Linked DNA regions of Drosophila melanogaster. The protein of the gene in region 1 purifies or fractionates together with the protein of each later gene. This does not show direct contact. Each region holds a gene or a part of one and is shown in the gene's direction. Other genes may lie near its edges. The genes, in order: Vdup1, Rs1, mRpS22 and CG9795.

The links.
Region 2: the proteins of Vdup1 (region 1) and Rs1 purify together in Drosophila melanogaster (affinity purification with mass spectrometry, with the first as the bait; one large-scale study listed by BioGRID). This does not show direct contact.
Region 3: the proteins of Vdup1 (region 1) and mRpS22 purify together in Drosophila melanogaster (affinity purification with mass spectrometry, with the first as the bait; one large-scale study listed by BioGRID). This does not show direct contact.
Region 4: the proteins of Vdup1 (region 1) and CG9795 purify together in Drosophila melanogaster (affinity purification with mass spectrometry, with the first as the bait; one large-scale study listed by BioGRID). This does not show direct contact.

What each region holds. Positions count from the first base shown.
Region 1 is NT_037436.4:175,961-180,467, reverse strand, and holds Vdup1 (vitamin D[[3]] up-regulated protein 1), read left to right. Parts: upstream 1-1,504; 5' UTR 1,505-1,635; intron 1,636-1,832; exon of another isoform or gene 1,833-1,971; intron 1,972-2,162; exon of another isoform or gene 2,163-2,594; 5' UTR 2,595-2,630; coding exon 2,631-3,086; intron 3,087-3,139; coding exon 3,140-3,322; intron 3,323-3,388; coding exon 3,389-3,778; 3' UTR 3,779-3,966; downstream 3,967-4,507. Other genes in the region: CG7049 (uncharacterized protein), read left to right, coding at 4,265-4,507.
Region 2 is NT_033778.4:8,161,606-8,168,288, forward strand, and holds Rs1 (Rs1), read left to right. Parts: upstream 1-1,958; 5' UTR 1,959-2,162; intron 2,163-2,394; exon of another isoform or gene 2,395-2,459; coding exon of another isoform or gene 2,460-2,901; intron 2,902-2,962; coding exon of another isoform or gene 2,963-2,997; exon of another isoform or gene 2,998-3,102; intron 3,103-3,191; exon of another isoform or gene 3,192-3,264; intron 3,265-3,274; exon of another isoform or gene 3,275-3,335; 5' UTR 3,336-3,350; coding exon 3,351-3,443; intron 3,444-3,501; coding exon 3,502-4,326; intron 4,327-4,344; exon of another isoform or gene 4,345-4,443; intron 4,444-4,510; coding exon 4,511-5,243; intron 5,244-5,303; coding exon 5,304-5,847; intron 5,848-5,908; coding exon 5,909-6,062; 3' UTR 6,063-6,164; downstream 6,165-6,683. Other genes in the region: RagC-D (Ras-related GTP binding C/D), read right to left, coding at 298-619, 681-823, 883-1,101, 1,165-1,635, 1,717-1,719; CG30373 (uncharacterized protein), read right to left, coding at 2,460-2,901, 2,963-2,997; gasz, read left to right, coding at 6,438-6,521, 6,585-6,683.
Region 3 is NT_033777.3:27,915,085-27,918,750, forward strand, and holds mRpS22 (mitochondrial ribosomal protein S22), read left to right. Parts: upstream 1-1,823; 5' UTR 1,824-1,917; coding exon 1,918-3,099; 3' UTR 3,100-3,164; downstream 3,165-3,666. Other genes in the region: CG5003 (uncharacterized protein), read right to left, coding at 1-258, 312-473, 527-649, 708-978, 1,064-1,344; Boh1 (buddy of Hmr 1), read right to left, coding at 3,174-3,666.
Region 4 is NT_033777.3:4,318,139-4,325,695, forward strand, and holds the start of CG9795 (uncharacterized protein), read left to right. Parts: upstream 1-1,544; 5' UTR 1,545-1,648; coding exon 1,649-1,752; intron 1,753-3,706; coding exon 3,707-3,909; intron 3,910-4,209; exon of another isoform or gene 4,210-4,357; intron 4,358-5,092; coding exon 5,093-5,484; intron 5,485-5,548; coding exon 5,549-5,751; intron 5,752-5,814; coding exon 5,815-6,026; intron 6,027-6,198; coding exon 6,199-6,372; intron 6,373-6,449; coding exon 6,450-6,534; intron 6,535-6,591; coding exon 6,592-6,673; intron 6,674-6,734; coding exon 6,735-7,351; coding exon of another isoform or gene 7,352-7,361; exon of another isoform or gene 7,362-7,557. Other genes in the region: Syt14 (synaptotagmin 14), read right to left, coding at 1-150, 210-371, 444-489.

The sequences.
Region 1 (4,507 bases):
AACTAGAATCAGCCTTCTTCATGTAAACACTAAGTTACTCACGGAGCGCTATTATGAGTGTCTTTATTGTTACAATTTTAACTTTCTCGCGTTCCACTGGCCCGACCGAAGACAGTTTAAAGTTTTCGATGCGAACCGTGCCTTACCAGCGCGCTCGGTATCTTCGCCACAACTGAGCCACTGCCCCAAGTCGGACATAGAAGCAGCTCGATTTAAGGGAGAGCGTGCCAGAGAGGTGAAACAAGGCAAGAGCAACGAAAACAGTGGCCAATGCGCCCAGCCAGTTGGGCATGAGAAAGTTTTGCAGGTGTAGCTCTGCTACACCTCTTGTTTTTCTCTTTGAGACTTTACGGTATCGTTGGTAAGTTTATGGAGTGGACCAGCCACTCCCCCTTGGTGATTGATGTTACACCAAGATATTCTCTGCCTTCACGTCTGGCTTTCGCTATTATTATAAGAGATGGAGATAGGCTTACTATAGGTTCCTCAGCGCCGGACTTTCAGAAAAATGATAAACAGAGCTGAGATTCGGAGATCGGTTCGGTGGTGCGCGGAGCAGCTTTGAAACCACACTGACTTTAACTCAAGAATACTTAGTTGTGGGCTCCACGAAACTTCGAGCTCAAGCGATTATCATTTTGAACCAAACTAGTATAGACGTCTCTATTCGAAACAACCTAATTTTCAGATACTCTATACGTCGAGGCCACAAACGGGAAATCTTTGGAGTCTCGTTGAAATCTCTCTTCGCGGTAAAGACTTGGGTCATTATAAAACAACAACTCCCAGCAATTAAGCCGAGAAACATTGAAATGGAAAACTATAGCCTAGCCATTGCTACTAAATGTCACTAATGCCGTTGGAAGAAATATGAAAAGCTGGAAAAGTTAAATACGAAAGTGATTTGTTTTCTCTTATAGCCAGCATAGTCTTCAAAACGATTGATTTCTTCAGTCCATATATAGTTTGACCATCGTTGCATCTCTACTCTTTCTAATATTATCTTATACTTTGTCGATCATAAGGATAACCTACAGATTCCTTTTAATAAAGTTTTCAAGGTATCTGCCACAGGACTCATTTTTTGACTAATTTTCAGGGTATAGCCATAGCTTGCCACAGCTTGCCACAGGCTGCCGAGCCATTCACCGATTCGGTTTTCGCAGCCAGTGATAGTTTGCTTGGCTTTTGGCCTTTCATTTTCATGAGCTACAGTTGAGGTTCTTCGATTTGGGTACCTTAAAACAACAAATAACCGGTATTAAATGCATGCATAATGCATAAATGTGTGCCACTTTATCCATTTTAGTCTGCACACGATTTGTCGACTATGGATAAATACCTGTAAAATATGGGCTTGGTGTTGGAAATACAGATTTATTTTCTAGGTGCAACCGAGTAACACAAGATACACCTGCTGAGCTATAGCGGGGCGACTCTGCGAGCATTGCCATATTATTAGCAAATTGCTCCTATAATCGATTCAGTTTGAACAGCTTAGCTAACCGTTGAGGTGACAATTTGGTTCTCATGCTCGTTTGGTCTTCTGTTGTCTGTGGTGCCGTTCCAGTTTTTTCCGTTTGAATTTATTCAAGAAGATACGCGCTTTGCGTATCCTGTAAGCCCGCTGGAAAGGTAAATTCAGCCATGTATTACATGAATGCAAAAGATAGTAAAAACAAAAGCGGGCTACTTATTGGCATTACGACATCAGCTGGCTCCGGCTGGGCCTCTCTCAAACGATCCCTCGCAAAAACGCGCTCAAAACAAGTTTTTCAGTCGAGCTCTCGTCCGCAAACTGATGCATAACGACGACGACGATGACGACGACGGTGATCAGTTGCCAAACAAACGCTCGAGAGCGTGGACGAGATCTTGCCAAACGAATATCGCTCAAAGGCAGAACGGGTTAAATCGGTTCGGTTTGGACTGGTGTTCCGATCTGGCCAAAAAACACCTTTGTGTGTACAGGTATTTGAAAAGCGATCATTATTTCAAGTGCGCCCACAGGGATGAAGAGAAAACAATTGATCTGTTGTGGATAAAAACAAAAATGTTGAACAATTTGAATGTAATCATTCCAATGGCAGTGTACGGTTGGGAATCCGCTTTCCACTAGGAAATTACGTCAGTTTTCTTTTCGGTTTCTGTTTCCCAATCAGGAATCATCAACATTGTCACCAGTGCACCAAACAGGCTTGCCGACAGTCGCAGTTGCAGCTTACGCTTTTGGTAAAGATGTACATACTGGAGTTTTGCCCAAATTTGTAGGCGCGGGCGTGACACGCCCGACATGCTTCATGCGCCGACCTTGCAGTTGATGCTTAAGTGTTCGGGGCTTTCGTGCTGCATAGTTGTGCACGCAGCCATCTCTTGGCCGTACGAAACTGGTTTTGTTTCCTTTGCCCGCCTAGATGCTACCCACATAAATATGCAAACAAGCGCCGTATGTATGTGAGACCGTAGTCCGTAGTACATGGTCTCAGACCTAGCCAGCTATGACGGATAAGTTGTCATTAACCATAATGACGCGTGCGGAGCGGGTCAAATATTTGGCAACCGTGTTCTAACGAATTTCGTTGGTTTTTCCTTAGGCGTACGAATGAAATCGGCAACAAAACAGAGGCACGATGCCGCGCAAGTTGCTTAAATTCCTTATCATCTTCGACAACACTTCCCTCCTGTACTTCCCGGGCCAGTTTCTCTCCGGACGGGTTCTAATCGAATTGCAGGATGAGACGCCTGCTTTGGGACTTCATTTCCATGTGGTAGGCGAAGGGGTCGTGCGCAACGGGCGGCGACAGGAGCGGACATACGATAAGGAGAACTATATCGACTTTCGGATGCGACTTCTGGGGGACGTAGACCAAGGAGGTCCAGCTATACTCTCGCCAGGAATTCACAGCTTCCCCTTCAAACTCGGCTTGCCACTGGGTCTTCCATCTACATTTCTCGGTCGGTACGGCTGGATTCAGTTCTACTGCAAGGCGGCGCTCCGCGAGAACAATGGCATTATCCATAAGAACCACCAGGTCTTCATTGTGATGAATCCCATCGACCTAAACCTTGAAAAGCCCATCTTAGCAGTAAGTAGCTTTAAAAACCCTGTTTAAAAAAACTAACCTTTCGCCTGACTCAGCAACCGTTCACCTGCGAAGTTGAGCACAAGCTAGGCGTCGTCTGTGTTGGTGGAGGTCAGATAAAGTGCAGAGTGTCCCTTGATCGCGGTGGGTATGTGCCCGGCGAGAATATTCTGGTCACCGCATTTATATCCAACTACAGTAATGTGTCCATTAAACGGACTAAGGCATCCCTCACTGAGGTCGGTATCGCTTTCAAGTGGCTAGTTACAATTCATCCATTTTGATCTTATTTGGATTTTATTTAGACCATCGAGTATTTGGCGCGGGGGAAGGTGGTGCAAACGGAAAAACGGGAGCTGGCTGTTTTAGTTCGTGGCAAGATCCGTCCGGGGGCCAAAGACGAGTGGCACAACGAGCTTTACGTTCCACCCCTGCCGCCGACCAATCTTCATGGCTGCCACCTGATCAAAATATCCTACGACGTCTTCTTCGTGATCGAACCCAAGTCCATGGAGAAGGAGATTAAGCTACAGCTTCCTATCGTGCTTGCGACGTACCCCTTTCGACACTCCGGTGATGCGGTCAATGCCAACACCTGGCCGGAATCGGTGCTTAAGCCGGACACGCACACCCACTATCCGTCCACACTACCCATATTCCGGCCCTGGCTGCACGAGAAGCCTATCGAGGCATAGCCCGCAGCTTTTAGGATTGCTGTGTATCACAACTTGTTAAGACCGATTTGCGCCATACAACAATTTAAACTTATTTAACTTATACTTAACGTTTTTTAATGTTTCTGGTCTTTGCATTTGTAGGTCTTCCGTTCCCAAAAATTTGTTCATGATTGAAGAATTTATAACAAATACAAACGAAAGTTAACATAAAGACCAGACTTTGATAAATTATAATTAGCTCATATACATAACTTTTTATAAAACCTAAATATTGTAGGTTATATATTATTAAAATGGTAAAACTGCACTCATTAACCTTCTAACTACTACTAAATGGTTATAATAATAATAATAATCCCAAAAGTATGGTTGTTGAAATTGAAATAAATTGTTTAAAACGTTACAGCCTAAAGTATGCTATTAAAAAGCTGGCTTGTTCGGAATTTAAATTCGCGAAATTAAGTATTGATTCCAAAACTAAAAAGGGCCACACTGCACGTTAAGATGACAACAATTATATTAGTCCTCTTTATTTGGATAGTTTTATTCAATGACGTATCCAGCGACTGTGGCTGCCAAAAGCTCGACCGGAAGGCCCCGGATATGCCGTCCATTTCCGGACAAGTGTGCCAGCAACGAGCACAGGGTGCACACAGCCACTACCGGGATTACTATGGCGAACTGGAGCCAAATATTGCGGACATGTCACTGCTTCCGGGAGGCACGGTTTACATGGGTACTGACAAA
Region 2 (6,683 bases), on another chromosome or scaffold:
TCTTTGTTTGCTATTTTATACTGGTGCGCTGTAACGTAACAAAAATTAAGGAAATAAATTAGGCAAGAGCACACTCGTATTTAAAAATAGACATGTTTATTGGTAGTATTATCAATAATTTCAACCGCTGGGCAATTTTTTACGCTGCTCTGTGAGAGTGGCGTCCTAACGTATCAATAGACAAAGGTAACATCAGATTTAACGGAAGAGAACGTACAAATTGGAATCAAAGAGTCCACAGAGAAGCTAGCGTAGGGGGGCAATAAAAGGGGCTCTCCGCTTGGGGATGCAGTGCGCCTAATTAATTGGCTGCGCTCGCGAAATTCCACCTGCGTCGTGGCCATGGCGAATCAGGGTCTGCTCATCGACCAGATCATCGTCGTCCTGGTCGTTGTTCTCCAGCTGCTTCTGGCGCTTTAGCCGCAGCTCGAATACCTCGCTGATGGCGTCGCGGAAACAGATGAAATTGTAGTCGATGACGCCCTGCCGGTTGAAGTTCTCCTCGCGCAGGATGCAGACCAGGGCCAGGAACTTGTTCACCTCCCGCAGGTAGAGTATCGTGTTGTTGTTTAACTTGATGAGACTAGAGCTCCCGCTGTCAAAGGCGGTTTCTTCGGAGCTGCGGTAAAGCAATGGTTATTTAGGCAAAGCAGCAAATACATCGAAATTAGTTAGCTTGCCTGTATATGCTGGACAGATCAATGACCACGTCAATCATATCGCAGCAGAGCTCATACGTCTGCATATCGACTGGTGACGAGTCCGTGGCTATGTAAATTTTGGAAACCACATCGAACAGAAAGGCTTTTTCTATTCCGGAGTTCTGCAATGGATAAGGAATTAACTGCGTAGTTCAAAAACAACAATGCAAGTTTCGTGTACTGGTATAAAAATGTTCAGCAGATTCTCCAGCGTCGGAAGCTGGGGAATCAGCTTCTGCACCACCTTGGAGAAGGCCTCGAAGATGGAGTGGTCGTATATGGAGGTCAGATGGAAACTCAGGTGGATCTGATCGAGGCCAGCCTCGTTAAGGTCATCCGACGACCGCTGGTGTATGTCCCGCTGCGATTCCATTTTCGAGTCGTCGCTAATTCCATCCACCTGGGAAAAGAGCATGTGTCGCTGGGTTATCAACACGATAAGCGCCCAACTCATGGATATTACCTTGTGTATAAACACCTCGAACTTGATGCGCTTGTTCACTTTGTAGGCCTGCAGCACTGTGTTCTTGAACTTGGTCAGCGCCTCGTTGTAGTCATCCTTGGCATCGATGACAAAGACCAGGGCTCCACAGCCTCCAAAGATCATGTCAGAATCAAAGGTCGGCTCGAAGAAGTCAATCTGGCCGGGGAAGTCCCAGATCTGGAACTGCACAAAGCTGGAGTTGTTGATGTCGTCCTTCACGATCTTACTGGTCGACTCCAGGAAGAGCGTCTCGTTCGGCGACATCTTGTGGAAGACCACTTTTTGGATGGAGCTCTTGCCGGATCTGCGCATTCCCATCAGCAGAATGCGCGGCTTTGTCTCGCTGCTGCCCGTTGCATTGGGCTCCAGTTCCAGGCCATCCTGGTTGTAGGCCCGGTAGCCAAAGTCCTTGGGGAACGTGTCCGCCGGATAGTCATCATCATCGTAGCTCTGAAAGGGCGTGATTGGGTGCAAATCAGTCGGTTGCGATGGGCGGGGGCCAATGGCGATATGGCTTCTTTGTCTACTCACCATGCTGTCGGAGTCTACCGCCTTCCACTGGATTCTGGTTTTGGGGGTGGGGCCGGCCGTAGGTCAACGGATGTGTGCATGAAACGCACAGGCAATGGCTATAGCGGTCACGATCAGTTTACCTTTTTCTGCTTTTCCTGCGCGTTTCTTATCGCAAACACAGTGTGTGCACACCTGCTAACCGAACTCAGCTGTTCCTATCGATAGCAATCAGCTGGCGCGATTACCAAGGATGCTGCCGTATGGTCACACTCCGACCACGTAAAAAAAATTGGCGCGAATTCATAAAAAATTTTTAAGTCTTATACTTTTATACTATAGTTTATAATCCTTTTCAGCTTCTGCGCCGCGTGATAAAAAGAAAATAGGCGGGCACATGCCGTACTCAAGTATATAATATATTAATCTATGTGATCGGGGTATACAAAGGAAAATGATTTGCATTTGTAAGACTAAAGCTATAACTTTGATGATTATTTTTAGCCGATCCTATTTAAGAAATCTCATATTATATTTTTACATTAAATTACTTTAAATGAAGGGTTATTTAAACAAGGAAGCCAATATAATATTCAATTTCAGTTAAACAAACAAAAACAACCAAAAATTGATTGCAAATATCACCAAGCCATTAAAAAAGATTAATAAATAATTTACCCTGGTAGAAACATACATCTTCTAGTTATTAAAAATGTTTAATTTCACTTAACGAAACAAAAACGTACAACAAACCAACCCTACGACTACTGGGCGGCCAACTTGGCATCCAACTGGCCCAGATCAACGCCCAGTTCCCTGAGCCGTCTCTCCTGCTCCTTGGTGTCCAGTCCGTGTTCCTTGTTGTACCTGTAGTTGACAGTCAGCTGCACCTCCTCCAGACCACTGACATGCTCGTACAAGTTGCCCTCCAACCGGAGATCGATGTCGCTCTCCTCGCGCAGCGCACAGAAGTACAGGAGGAAGATGGCCAGGCTGGCGGAGATTACGTAGGGTTGGTACCAAAGGGTCTCGTCGCTGCCACCACTGCGGGTGTCCTTGGCGCGCCAAGTGGCCGCCTGGCTGCCGAAAAACTTGATGGGCTCATCGCTGACCATGTCGTCATCCGATTTTTGGCTGGCTGCTCCTTGGTTCTTCGCATAGAAGCGGGATGCAGGTGGAGTGGCGCCTGTCGCTGGCATCAGTTGGCTACGAAGAGAGCCTATTGTTACTACTGCTGACTAGGTATTGTATCATTATAATAACTCACCGCAGCACCCTTGTTTTTGTAAGCAAACGCAGCATTTTCGATGGGAAACTCAAGCAAATTTCATAACAAAATTGGTTAAACAGCTGACGATTTAGAGATGAGAGCTATCGCCGGCACGCAATTTCGTGATGTATTGATGGCTTGAAAAACAAAGTAAAATATCAATTATGATGAAAATAATATGTTGATTTTACTTAGTAAACTTATGTTTATGGTTATTTGAAATTACTTAACATTAAAAGAGCAACAAACTAATATTTCCACAAATTCCACCCACGCTTGCAAACGATGATTTGACCACCGGTTCGCCCATCTCTAACACGCCACACGTGTGTTTTAAATTGTAAACACGCGCTGGTGGAGTTTTGAATAGTTCTTTGCTTCAAAAATGGGTGCAACCAAGAACCTGGACTTGATAGGCACCATCGAAGACGATGCCGAGGTGGAGAACTTGTCGGAGGACTCCGATGCGGAGGTCGAGGTAGGTTGCTCACACTTTTAAAAACGATAGCAAAACTGAGTTCCGAGTGCCTCCGCAGTACCAACCCACAAAACTGAGACACAAGAAGGTGACGGAGTTTGAGAAGGGCTTCGAGTTCGTGTCCTCAGTGAAGGAGTACAACCAGGACACTTGGGACGACCTGATGAAGTACGTGAAGCGAAAGGCGCGCACAAAGACCGACGACAAGATCGCCGCCCGGCTGCAAAAGCGGGGTGGCGCCGAAGCTGTGGCCGCGGAGCAGAGCGATGGAAGTGAGATAGATCTCTCCGAGGACGAATTGAAGCATGACAACCTGCGGCTAAGGGAGAAGAAGGAATCCAAAAAAAAGAAGAAGAAGGCTGGAGAGGAGGATGAAGAGGACGAGGGCGAGAAGATGCAGTTCGCCGACACTGTAGAGGCGAACGAGCAGATCACTTCCTTCTACCAAATGAACCTTTCACGTCCCCTGATGCGTGCCATCGGTGTGCTGGGGTACATATATCCTACGCCGATCCAGGCCTCTACGATTCCTGTGGCTTTGCTAGGTCGCGATATCTGCGGCTGTGCTGCCACGGGAACGGGCAAAACTGCTGCTTATATGTTGCCTACTCTAGAACGTTTGCTGTATCGTCCTCTTAACAACAAGGCCATCACCAGGGTACTGGTTCTTGTGCCCACTCGTGAGCTGGGCGCCCAGGTTTACCAGGTGACAAAGCAATTGTGCCAGTTCACCACTATTGATGTGGGTCTGGCAATTGGTGGTCTGGATGTGAAGGCTCAGGAGGCAGTACTTCGCCAGAATCCCGACATTGTCATTGCAACGCCAGGTCGTCTAATCGATCACATTAAAAATACGCCCAGTTTTACATTGGATTCCATTGAGGTAAGAAATCGAGGTGAATTTAAGTTGATGATTCTCCATCCTTGCGCTCTGAGCTCTTTGCGGAGCTAAGAGGATAACCTGGTTCTTGCTTCTGCGCGGCAGATGCAAGCTGATTCCACAGGCATTGTGTTTCCTACGTTTACTTTACCTGAATAACTTAAATATCTTTTGATATCCCGAACAGGTTCTCATTCTGGACGAGGCCGATCGTATGCTGGACGAGTACTTCGCCGAACAGATGAAGGAGATCATCAACTCCTGCTGTAAGACACGTCAGACCATGTTGTTCTCCGCCACAATGAGCGAGCAGGTCAAAGATCTGGCCGCCGTATCGCTGGACAAGCCCATCAAGGTGTTCGTCAACAACAACCAGCAAGTGGCCTTCAATCTGCGTCAGGAATTTATTCGCATACGTGAGGATAAGGAGGGCGACCGTGAACCCATTCTGGCTAGTTTGATTTGCAGGACGTTCCATGATCATTGCATGGTATTTGTGCAAACCAAAAAGCAGGCCCATCGACTGCACATTTTATTGGGTCTCTTGGGCGTCCGGGCCGGCGAACTGCATGGCAATCTCACCCAGCAACAGCGTCTGGAGTCCCTCAAGAAGTTCAAGGAGGAGCAGATTGATGTGCTTATCGCCACAGATGTAGCTGCTCGTGGTCTCGATATTGTGGGCGTAAAAACGGTAATCAACTTTGTGATGCCCATCACCACAGAGCACTACATCCATCGAGTGGGTCGTACGGCTCGAGCTGGGCGTGCTGGTATATCCGTTTCCCTGGCCGGTGAAAAGGAGCGCAAGATCGTTAAGGACATTATCAAGAATGCGGAGAGTACCATTAAGAATCGTATTATTCCGCCAGAGATTATTGAAAAATATCGCAACAAACTTACAAGCTTGGAGCCAGAGATTCGTAAGTTTATATAAATGTAACATTTTCTTAATTTGCGGATGTAAATGTATTGTTTTGTAGAAAACATTCTGGACGAAGAGCAGGCTGAACGGCAGCTAGCCAAAACGGAGCAACAGCTCTCCAAAACGGAGCGAAAGCTGCTGGGACAGACCAACGAGCGACGTGGTTGGTTCCAGACGAAACAGCAACGCGAGGCGGAGAAGGATCGCTTAGCGTTGACAACCGGCGACGAGGATAAAGCATCTGGTGGAAAGGGTAAGGGAAAAACGGCCGGAAAGCGTAAGCGACCCGAGTACGGAGGCGATGGCGAGGATGGACCACCGGTCAAGGATCTCGAGGCAAAGCGCAACAAGAAGAAGAAGGAGGAGCCTCGAAAGAAGACACCGGAGCAGCTGGCCAAAGAGCGAGCCATGAAGGAGATCGAGAAGGTGTCCCTTGTGCGCGCCAAGATGGCCAAGCTGCGCAAACGTCCGGGCAAACTAGGAGCCGCCACCGAAGTTCACAGAAGCGGTGCCTCCGACGGCAAACCCAAGCGACGCGGCGGTCAGTCGGCATTTACTAACGACTTGACCGATGTAAGTCGTGGCGGAGCTCTGCGTCTAAGGTGAGTAGCTCTTTCTCGCTTTTCGTTGATAGTTGTTCTAATTTTGTACACCCTTTTCCAGGTCCGAGGCCAATCGGCACAAAAAGATGACCAAGATCGCTGCTAAGAAAAAGGCGAGCAGTGTGAAGCTGACAAACAAGGCGGGAAAGAATAAGTTCAACAAGGGCAAGAACTTCGGAGGACCTCGTCACGCCAAGAAGGATAAAAAGAAGTAGAGCTGCAAACTACGCTATGTTAAATCGTATACTTGTAAAATAAAACTTTTTCTTCTTTAAGGCATTTAATTTTTTTAATTTGCTTTAAACATATGACACCTCAAAACAAAATTGCGAATCTGCATAATCAGAGTGTTAAACTTTCTAATATAACTGCAAATTTACTATTGCTTAAATTAGTTTCGGTTATCTTAATTTAGCTTAGTTTAAAAAGCGCGCCATGATATCGATAAAAATCGATTGTGCAAACTTTTTCAGAACCTCGCCTCCCCTCACTAGTTTTGTTTGCCATTTTCCTCCTTTCGCCTTTTTCCTGAATTTGGCCACAATTGTTGTGTGCTTAAACTGCTAAATTAGGTTTATATAAGTACCTGTATGATGAGCAACCTTTGCAAATACGGACCGCCCCCAGATTCCGACTCTGATAGCAGCTACGATGGATTCTACTTCTCGGATAAGGTATGTGTTCCTTGTTCTGTTCCTTCTGGTGTTCCTTGGGTGACTTGAGTAATTTCTGTATAGGTGAAACGCTCGAAACCAGCTCCTTACGTGGATCCCGAGCAAAAGCTCTACGATGCAGTCGTCGCTGGGGATCTCAAGACGATGCAGGAGGAGATGCGC
Region 3 (3,666 bases), on another chromosome or scaffold:
GAACGCAACCTTGCATGCACGCAGATGCTCCATGGCGGCCCGCGATGTGGACGGCTCGTCATCGCTAAGCACTTTCAGTGAATCAGGCTGCGGGGAAGCAGCTTCGTCAGTGGCGTTGCCGTTGGTATTTTTTTTAGCAACGGCTTGTTTGGAGTGCAGGATCTGTGGCGACTCAAGCAGCAGTTCCTTGAGATTCTCGATAGCGCTAAAACACTGCAGATCTGAGTTGTTGATGGGCGTCTGGCGAAGATCTAGTGACTGAAATAAATAACCCTTTATAAAGAATATTCGCCGATTGCACCTATGCCAACCTCTAGTTTTTGGAAACCGAAACGTGCCGCCATGCTGCCATAGGGCACAAACTTGCATAGCGCCTGACAGCCCTTAAGACTAAGACGCCGCAAGGAAGGTAACTTCGACAGGCCCATAATATAATAGGGCTCGAACCAGCTGTTGTCCTCAATACTGAGATCCTAAATAAGACGGGGTTAGGCTATTCATTGGACTGTCGTTCGCTCAAACTCACCTCTAGATCAAGCAGATGCAGCTCTATGGAGTAAAATATGCTTTTTGGCGTGTCGCCGACCCTAACGCTACAGTCCTTTAGCTTCAGACGCCTCAGAGTGGCCGGGAACTCAGTTATGTGTATCTGAAGAAAAGATAAAATTGGGGTAGACCAGGGAAACTTGCGAGATGCCAGCACTCACGTATTCGAAGTCCAGGCTGACGCCCTCCAGCTCCAGCACTTTAAGCTGTACAACCCTGGGGAAAACGGAGCTTAGCGTTTGGGTGAACTGGCGGAATTCGCCTGCAACATGCTGCGAGGACGGAGGTCCGCAGATTTTAATGGTGTGTGTCTTTTCGGTGGCTCGTCCAAGAATCTCTTCTAGGATGCCCATAGGCAGGGGCCCGTTGCTTAAGTCTATGTGATGATAGAAGCGGTGATCCAGCAGGAGGTTTTCAAAGCGCGGCGAGCAACTGGAATATTACGGAATGTTATAATATGGAAAGGACATGGAAATCTCAGCGACGCAGAGATCTTTGTTGATAGCGGACTACTTACTGCATCACCGCCAGAATGGAGGACGTGTCCAGGTACTGGAAGATCTCGAAGAGCAGCTCATCACAGAAGTCCATGAGGTTGCACTCCGTTTCCCGGTCGAGGGATTCCTTATGCTCCTTCTCCCTTTTGCGCTGTTTTATCTCCGGCTCCTCCTCGGTAGGGATTTGTGGCAGCACTGGCTGCACGGGCACGGCGGCCAGCTCCCGCCCACAACGTTCGTTGTCCGGGAAGCGGCGCTTAGGCGCTGCAAGGCACGTACTGCCCAATTCGGCCTGTTCCATGCTTGGGCTGCTCCTGCACTTTATTGCCAATTTTCGCCAGCAGCTTTTTTTCCAGCTAAATGCAATTGGTCAAGTGTGACCGCAGTCAGATCCCGAGATAAGCCGCTAGTAGGGGTATTCCTATGTCGAAGAGATGAAACTGGCTTCCGAATTTCCCGGTAATTTTTAATGTCGTTTTTATTATTATATTATTTTTTTTCTTGATTATTACGATTTGATACTAAAGGCGGTGGCACTAGCTGCTCATAGTTATACAATTGAGTCGTCTGGTAAAATGGGAACAATAACAAGTAGTTAATAATCGTTTAATTCTTATGTAGATAATAAAGTTGCCTATTTTGCTATTTTCCTATTTCAAACAAATATTGCATATTATGAATGAAATTTAAAAATAAGGCGCATTACGCATGTGCATGTGCATTAAAAAAGTTATTATACAAATAGAATAAACACATTAAATTAAATAAGATTCCTGTTGTCATTACTAGCAAGCAGTGTTGGAAAACACCGTGCTGCCCTCACTAATTTCTACACCCGTCTCGTGTATTTTTGTGCCTGATTTACTGACTGAAAATGCACCTGCTGCGGAGCCTGCGCCAGCTGAATGGCCTCCAAGGAGTGCGCCAAGCTATCCGGCAGGTGTCCTCGGCGCCCACCAAGCCCGCCGCCCTGCAGTACGAGCGCGATCCGCAGCCGCTTTTCACGGATGCCGAAACCCAGCGGCTGCTCCAGTCCATGACGCAACTGAACTTGGACAAGGTGTATCGGAAGCGCACGGTGCCGGACAACAGCAGCGAAACGAAGTTCATGAGCAACGAGCAGCTGGACAACGAGTTCCAGAACTTGGTGGTGCGGGCTCAGCAAATTCTGCAAATGCCACCCATTGTGCAGATCAAAAAAGATGTGGAGCGGGTGATAGCCAAGGATACGGCGCTGAAGGACTTCGCCAACTCCAAGTTCGTATTCACGGACATCACCTTCGGCCGACGGCAGTCGGAACGCAAGGTAATCGTCCGGGATATGGACGGAACCTTGGCCTACGCCACTCTTGATACCACGAAGCGCATGAACCAGTTGTATTTCCCGCTGGAGGGTCGCCAGTCATATACTCCACGAATGTTCGCGCTGGAGGAGCTGCTGGCCAAGTGCTTGGCGGAGCACAAGTACGAGTTCATCCTGGATCGACTCTTGGTGCAGTACGAGCCACATGAGCCGGAGTTCCACAACATTTCAGCGCGTGTGTTCGAGCATCTCAACGAGTCCAAGGAGTTCGATCTTCTGCGCTCCACCCGCCACTTTGGACCCATGGCCTTCTTCTACGCTTGGCACCGCTGCATCGACGACCTGCTGTATGACATGATCCGTCGGGATTATCTGCACAATGCCGTGGAGCTGATTGCTCTGAGCTACAAGCTACACAACATCCCAGTGGAGTATCAGGCAACGCTGACCGAACTGGGCAAACTGCATGCCACGCCGGCGGAAAGTGCCCTGGCGGAGCTAAGAAGCGTCTTCCGACGACATGACAATAAGCAGAACATTGAGCAGGAGATCCATACGGCCATTGGCAAGACGGAGCACGATTTCGCCGCCGATGAGATCAGCCTGAAGTTCATTGAGCAGTACATCGCCAGCGAACATGCGCTGAAGAAGGTGCAACTGGAGCTGGCGGTGCAGACGCTTAAGGAAGTTAACCGGGAGAAACTGATGCTGTTCCAGGGACTGAAAAAGGCTCACGGCGTCCAGGCTTCGTAGGATCTATTCGCTTTATTGTTATCGATTTCTATGTACTAATAAATACCAGCTAGGTCAAGATTTCTATACGCTGTTCATAGCTCCTTCTTGAGGACCCTGGACAGCCGTCTAAAATGGCCAAGGATGCACTGTCTCCGGTGCCGCAGGCATACCCGCTCGCTGCTGAAACGCTTCAAGCAAACTGAGCAACGTCTGGGATCACCTCTTCCATTGGGCAACCCGTTGTGTTCGCGAAATAGGACGACCACTTTCGCCTTGGCACAACTCTGTTCTTTTTTTCGGTGTACCAAAAGAGAGGTGGTGGTCTTGAAGTAACGTTTGCACTGAAGACATCTGTAGCACTTCCTGCCGCTATGGTTTCTCAGGTGCCTGAGCAACTGCATCTCTGAGTGGCTCATGGCGTTGCAGAGTAGATGTGGGCATTTAAAGAGCATCGATGACTTCCTGGGCGCTAGAGCGGGACAGCTCAGACTGTGTTGCTTCAATTGTTTCTGGTGGTCCAGACGCTGACCACAGCGAAAGCACAGAGCACCAGGTCCATAGTGCGCGGTCATGTGGCTCTGGTGC
Region 4 (7,557 bases), on another chromosome or scaffold:
AGCTCTGCGCCGTCAGCGGATTAGCCTGGCTGATTCCCAGCCCGTATCCGCCAGGCTTCTCGCCCAGTTGGTGCTGTTGATGCCACCGCAGGCGCCTCAAGATGTCTTCCTCCGAGTCGGAGCTGGTGTTCTCGTAACGCCTTTTGCGGGCTGCGGGATACTTAAAAGTTAGCCAGTCAGCCCCAATCCCCACGAAACACGGTACTCACTGATCTTCTGCACACACTTGACTGCAAGGTGGCGCTCGTCGCAGCAGTTGATGGCATGGCGGTAGTGAAAACAGCACTTGCGACTGATGAAAAGAAACAACAGGAGCAGTAGAACGAGGACGCCGAAAAAGGCGCCCAGCAAAGTGGTCACCTCGATGGTGCCTGAAAGATTTAACAGTCACGGCTCAGGTCAGAATGGTGTGGTTTGTGGGGTGCATATACATTTTTACGTACCGAGCGTCGGAGTGCTATCCAGTCCAGAAGCGGAGGTAACAATCATCTTGGCTCATGCGAGGATCCTGGCGAACACGAGTCTACTACTCGCAACTCATTGCACCCGGACCACAAGTCAAGTCACTAAAAATTATTCTCACTGCAGCGTGAAAGCAAAAGCTCAGGAATTTGACAGCACAGCGTCGCAGGATAACTGGAATCGATTTTTCGCAAGACAACGACTAGGGATCAAAGCAAAAAAGTCGTTTGGAAGCTGGTGTACTCCGAATTACCCGTTTTTTTGGCCCTTCCGTATTTCGGAACCGTTCATCTGAGATTTGGTTGCAAAATCGTAAAACAAATTATAGAAGGAACAACTATACTGTTCTATCCTATTAATCACTTTCGATTTCTTGAAGGCACGATCCCAAAACTGCGAATCATGCAACGAGAGATTCAGAAATAAAAATCAAACGGCTCAGGATTTAATTCAACTGAATTAGGATGAGCTGCCTTAAACTCGATGGAAAAACTGCTTCAAAGCAAGCACTTTGGAGCTTAATCCCTCCACCCCCAGTGTGTGTACACACAGGGCTCGGAAAAGCTCCGTTTCGACAGTTGCATCGCAGTAACAACTGTTGCTTATTTTTTTGTGTTTGGGAGGATGATTTAAGCTGAAAACTTAGAAACGGGATTCTTTTTTATTGGTTGTGCTGTGCTGTGATTTCTTGAATTGTAATTGTTTAGAATGTCTCGAATAAAAATTCTCTCCGTGTCGTATGCATTCGAAGGTTTAAACGTTAGTCGTAGCCACGGTTTCATAAAATGTTAAGACCAAGACCGTTTGCCTGTTATTGATGTTCAAAAATTTGAACCAAATAATTAAGAAAAGCGGAATTAGTGCATCAGAATTAATGCACATTGTATGCTCCATTCAGGTAATTGTCCGGTTGTTTAAAAAAGAGCCTTATAATTTAGGTCAAAATTTTTAGAGCTACTCATGCTTACATACATGAAATGCGCTGTTATTCGATAGCAGATAACACTCCGAGCAGCAGGTATCGATAATCGCAACAATCGCTGTTCCAGCGAAAGTCATCGCTTTGACGGCACATCGCAGATTGCCCACCTCTAAAATAAATGCCTAATGAATTGGCTCAGTTCCGTTGTGCGCTTAATTTTTTGTCGCTGCTCAAACTGAATGTTTCCGCCTGTCAGAACACCGTATGCAAAACCGTGACCGCGCCCACGCCGTGCTTGAAAGTCCAATACATTTAATCCGCAATTGTGACGCAAGTAAATTTTGGATGGCCAATGCCACTGGGCAAGTGTGAGTGCCGTGTGTGCCAAATTCCGCTGAGACGCTTCTGATAATATGATTATGGCTAAACAGCTAAATATAGTGCTCAGTGCCCCCCACAAAGCGGAATACCGCGGTGGTACCGTGATACCACCTCCTTGGCGTCGATTACTTCGTTTCTTTATTGCTGGTGGAGCTAGCAGGAGGAAGAAAGCCAGTCTACGACGTCATCTTATGTCGTTTCGCTTTTCATTTCGCAGCAGTCACTCGCACACAATGAAAATCGAGAGGGTGGGATGGGGGTGGAACAGGGATTTGAAAACTCGATTTCCCGTACCAAGAGCCCAGACCAGAGTTGAGCGCGTGTCAAAACTTTTCGACACAAAGCAGCACGAAGCCGAACTGGAATCTGGCAAAGTGCAGTCTAAATACATATAATATAACGCTTTTGTATGAAAATAAAAGTTTGTCTAACCTTGAATCTAACAACCAAGGCATTTTTCGTTAGGTATATATGTGTACTTCCAAATATATAAAATATCCTCGCAGAGCTTCTAGAAAATATTCTATTGTAAGCAAGTTTTTGCAGTGGACCAGTGAGCAATGGCGTGGGAATCCCAGCTGTAGATGCTTGGAATTTCTACAAAAACTTACAATGTCGTTTCCCGGTCTTTTGAGCTTTTAAGCTAGTATTCAACTTTCAAGTCAACTCCATTTCTGTCAATCCTAATTTCTTCATACCCTTGCAGAATGTATATTAATTTCAGTTAGAAGGTTTTAACGCAGTGGTGGAGATATTTGCGACCATATCAAGTATATCTATTCCTGATCAATATCGCCAGCCAAGTCAATATCTAATTCACATTTTTTGCCAGGGTTTAAATATTTGCTACAATATAGCTCAAGCAATCGAAGTACATATGTATGTATAGTGCTCTTCGATTGGGTCAACAAACCAAGCGACTCGCTCTTCCAGCTCTTTGTCGCCGTGTGCATTTAGTCATTGATCGCGGGAAGGAGTCGCTGTGGGCCATGTCACCATCTCCATTGACAACGCAGCCTTTCTTTATTGGTGTCATTAAAATTTGTTAAATGGAAAGGTCATTAGACACAGCGGTGAAACCGGTTTGGTTTGGCGGCTTAATTTTCGGTTAACTCGACTGCATAGATTACGCACCAGCCACTTCAATTGGCTGCCAAATACCTTATGCTTATTGGTATGTCTTCACTTGCAGTATGTATATTTGCTGGCAACCACCCACCAACAAAAAAAAACTTGACCCAAAAGCGGCGAATGTTTATTTTCTCTTTATACTTGACTGACGTTCATCTTGGTGGCCAGAGTTTACTGCCAATGTCGTTCTTAGTCAGTTAAAGTGGGAGTAGATACAATTATCTTGAATCCAAGCTACCGCCTATTTTCATCCCGAACGTATTACTAGATGTTACATACTAATAGAAACAACGCTTAAAACTGGTAAATAGGTTTTTTAGTTGAACTATCAATCGTATTGTAAACTGTTAAACCTCATTGACAATTTTATAGACACAAAACGCTGATTTAGGGCTACCGCTGGAAAATTCTATTATCTGTTAGTGAATTCGTCTAAATTCATTTGTAGATCAATAAGTGAATAAATGTTTATTGTTCGTCAATTAAGTGCCATTCCACTGGTCTGTGCCTGCATACATTTAAATGTTTTTACATTGTATATTCTGCAACCACAGCACAGTTTGTGACGGTGGTCGTGCAAGTGTTTGGAGAAATCGTACGGCTGTTTCCAGGGATTGCATACGTAACTTGAGGATTTTTCTTGCTGTTTCACTTCTGTTTATTGTCTCCCCCAAGTGCACTAGGTACAAACATCGAGTCTTTCGTGGGTTAATTTCTGTGTGCTTCCAGTTTTTATGGTCCACTGCGGAATCGCACGAATGAAAAACCTCGCTTAACAATACTTAACTATCCGTATTTTTTCTATTTCAGAAGCAACATGAGCGTTTTGCGGGAGGAAACGACAACTTCCAGCCAGAGGGAGATAAGCACAAACGGCGGTGGGTTGGATTTCCCCGCAGAAGTGACGTCGCTGATTGCTGGCAACAGCTTTTGCTTAACGCCAGGAAATAACGGCGGGATCGGTGCCCAGAAAAAGGTCACTACTGGAGCGGGTCTGAACAGTACACAGAGAGGTGAGCGAGATCATCGTCCGAAATATTGAATATCCGTTAATCTAGGTTGTTTATAAAGTCTATTTTAAAGAACTTGGTATTATAAACTCAAAATTCACATTAAATTCCAAATCAGTGAGTGAAATGTTAAATAAATACAAAACACAATAATAAATCAATTAGGTTAATTTTGTACATTACGCCTTTTATAATTCCCTGCAAAGTTAAGAAACCTCTAAGTTTCTTCTGTGTTGTACTAATTTTGATATAATAAACATGTTATATTGCATTTTTTGATCTTAAGGTTCCTTTTATTTTTAGCCACTATAATTACGAAAAGATTTAATCTATTCAAACTGACTGATTTCACGGTCAGTAATCGACTTAATTTTATTTGTTACGATGCCTTTGTCCGAGATATATCATTGAAATAACGGAAACTATTTACCTAACTCCCGAATTATATAAGGTGGGCAAAATATATACTGTTTGTTTAAAATTAATATTACAGTATAAAGTACATATGTATATTAAGTAAGTATATGAGTATACATACATCTGATTAAAAAGTTGAAAATGTTCAATAGTGTGGGCGTGGCAGTTTTAATCAATAGAAATTAACAATATATACAGTCAAATGACAACAAATTAGGGGTGGGAGTGTCAGCTTTGGTTAGTTGCAAAACAAGCTTGCTTCTTATTATGAAATTTATAGTATCCGAGACCTCGACGGACATACGGACATTGATAGATCGACTCGGCTAGTGATCCTAATCCAGAATATGTATATTTTCAAGGTTCGGTGACAATCCCTCAACATTTAGAAGCATTTCTGAGTAATTTCCTTGCTCTCCTTACTGGCCGTTTATCGAAAGGGGCATCGAGTTTGCTCAATCTATAAAAACCAAGTATTTGCTTGACTTAAAGAAAACCGTTTGGTTTTAACAATTGAAAAACGAACCAAAATAGTCTTAAAATTGCTTCAAATTGCCCCAGACGTTTTTCTGGGCTAAAGTAACTTAGACAACTCTAGTTTAGCCGCCGAGTTGAGCGTTACGTCCGGAATTGTTGAATTCGTGTAATAGTTTTCACTTTGTCAATGCTGGAAGTGAAAGCCGTGAAGCCTTTAGCTACGTAATCTGTCCACACTAGGACCTGCACTATTGAAATTGTCAAGATGACCTCAAATTAAATTCTCCTTCAGCTACGGATGCCACCAAGCGCAAGAAACTAAGGTCGCGTAACGTACCACCTTCCCCATTGGCCCAAAAAACTGAAGCAGCGGCGACCTCTCTTAACCAAACGAACATCGGTGAGGTCAAGAGAACCGATATTAACTATTCCAACGATCACCTTGATGCCTGGTTGGAGAGCTGTTTACGTGATGCCACCAACGCCCAATTGTCTTCTTCATCTGAGTTTTTGGACTTCATACCGCCCACAGCACCAGCTCATAAGCAAATGTTTTTGACTCAACAGCAGCAGCTGCCGCAGCTTAAACAGCAACTACAGCAGCAGAGGCAACAGGAATTTTCGAAGCGAACCCAGCCTTACGGAGTGGGTCCAGGCACACCGTTTAGCCTGGGGATACAGCGCGTGAGTAGTTGCTATTGCAAGATATTTTGTACAACGCACACCCAACTTTATTTTATTTTTACAGAATTCGAACTCTCTTAGCCATCGATATCCGATGCTCTTCCCACCCCAGAGCCTTAACAGCTATGGTGATGGTGGCCAGGAGTTTGCAAGCTTGCCTCCCCTGAACAACATGATGGGAGGGCCGGAAGGGCTTGGGTGCGATCAGGAACCGAATTCGACGGATGTGCTGGATGGCAGCGAAAGCAATCCCAACTTTACCAAGGGGTAAGCAAAAACAATAAATTCGTAATGAATTATTAAAGAGCCGTACTTACCGTGTGATAACAGATTTCGGTTCAGCGATCCGTGCCTACTGAACCCCTCCGATAATGACTCTAAGCTGAGTGGCCAGAATACACCAGAGTGTCGAAATGTGAACAACAATGGCAGTGGCTGTGATCTGGCACATCAAAACAAATTTTTCGCGGCTCTAATGGAACAAATAAACATATTGCACGACACCAATTCCAAGATCTGCCGGAATTTGCATAATACAAAAGGTGTGTGGTTTGTAGGATTGTGTCCAGTTTAGATGTCACGATGCTTCCCAAATTACGACAAAATTACACAAATCTCTGATTTATTTTACTTGTACTCGTATGCTAATTAGAATGTGTTGCCACCCATTTCCTCTTTCTATGTACTCCCTTGCACTTGCAAACACAATCATAGTTGATATCGAAGCTTTAAAGCACTCCCCTAATAGCCAGCACTGGGCAGGTGTAGGCTTTGGGGGCATGCGGCACCGTAGAGATAGCTTAAGCGGGCTAAGCACACAAAGTCAACCTCTTATTCTTGGCAGTGGATTGGGAGGGACACACAGCCCAGCGCCCACATTTCACTCAGGTATAACATAAACGCTACCCCCAACTATGCCATGCAAAGGAGTGAGTAATAAGTTATATTCGCTTCCCATTTTTCAGGCGCCTACACTCCAGGAATGATGACGGATGTCGTGCGGGAAGTGAAGGAGGCAGCGCGCATACGCGAAGATGCACTGCTAAGTCGGTAAGAAGTCGAAAATTAAAAAGTATATTTAGAGTGTTGATTACATTTTGTTCTCAGAGTAAAATTAATGGTTGAAGAACGTCAGTGTTCCTTAAACGAGGGAAATGTCCGAATTCTGAGAGATATAGACGATCTAAAGGTGAGTGCTAAAATAAATGTGCATAAAAAGCTAAAAGCTAAAAATTCGATTTCGGTTGTAGACCCAAGTAATGCAGTTGCGACTGGAGAAAAAGGAGACTAACAAACGCCTCTCACATCTGGAATCCGAAAACAAGTGCCTTCGTCAAGCTCTGGCCGGTTGTTATAACCAGCGGCCAATCAGTAACGACATTATTTACGAAAATGACCGATCCCATGGATTCCGAAAGCCATTTCCGAATGGGGGTGGCGGCGGAGTTGTGGGTTCCGGTGCCCTCGGAATACGACGGGCAAAATCTTTAAACCTTCATTATGGAACAATGCATCAAACGCCTATCCAAACGACACACTCTTTGGAAGAGGACGACGAAATAGAAGAGGAGCAGTTAGTAGAGCAAGTAGGACTGGACGGAGAAGAATTATCCCTGACTGGCAACAACAGTTTATCGTGTTTGAACATCGGTCATCAATCTCCCTCCAACTTAACGCCTCACTCACAGATACCTAAATCAGAAAAGCAAGCAGTTAGAAGCCCTCCCTCTTTTGCGCTGGCTTCTGACCAGATCAATCCGGGAATTCCACCGCCATTGCTACCACGAAAGAAGGACCACGCTCATCTAAAGCGGGAGCGCAGCGAGGCGGCCTCCGTACGTAAGGAGACAAATCAACGTATAATTGCGTGGGTGTAGTATATGCTCTGTTCTACATTTTTAAACTAACCCATCACCGTTAACTTTCACTTGCATGGACGTTTTAAATATACGTTTAGTCACATTCTACTAATCATTTTAATCACTATCTGAGCTTGGTAACTAATCCTAAAACTTACAAATTGTACACTTCCTTTTTATCTTTCAATGGTTATTTATACTGGGCAACATTATA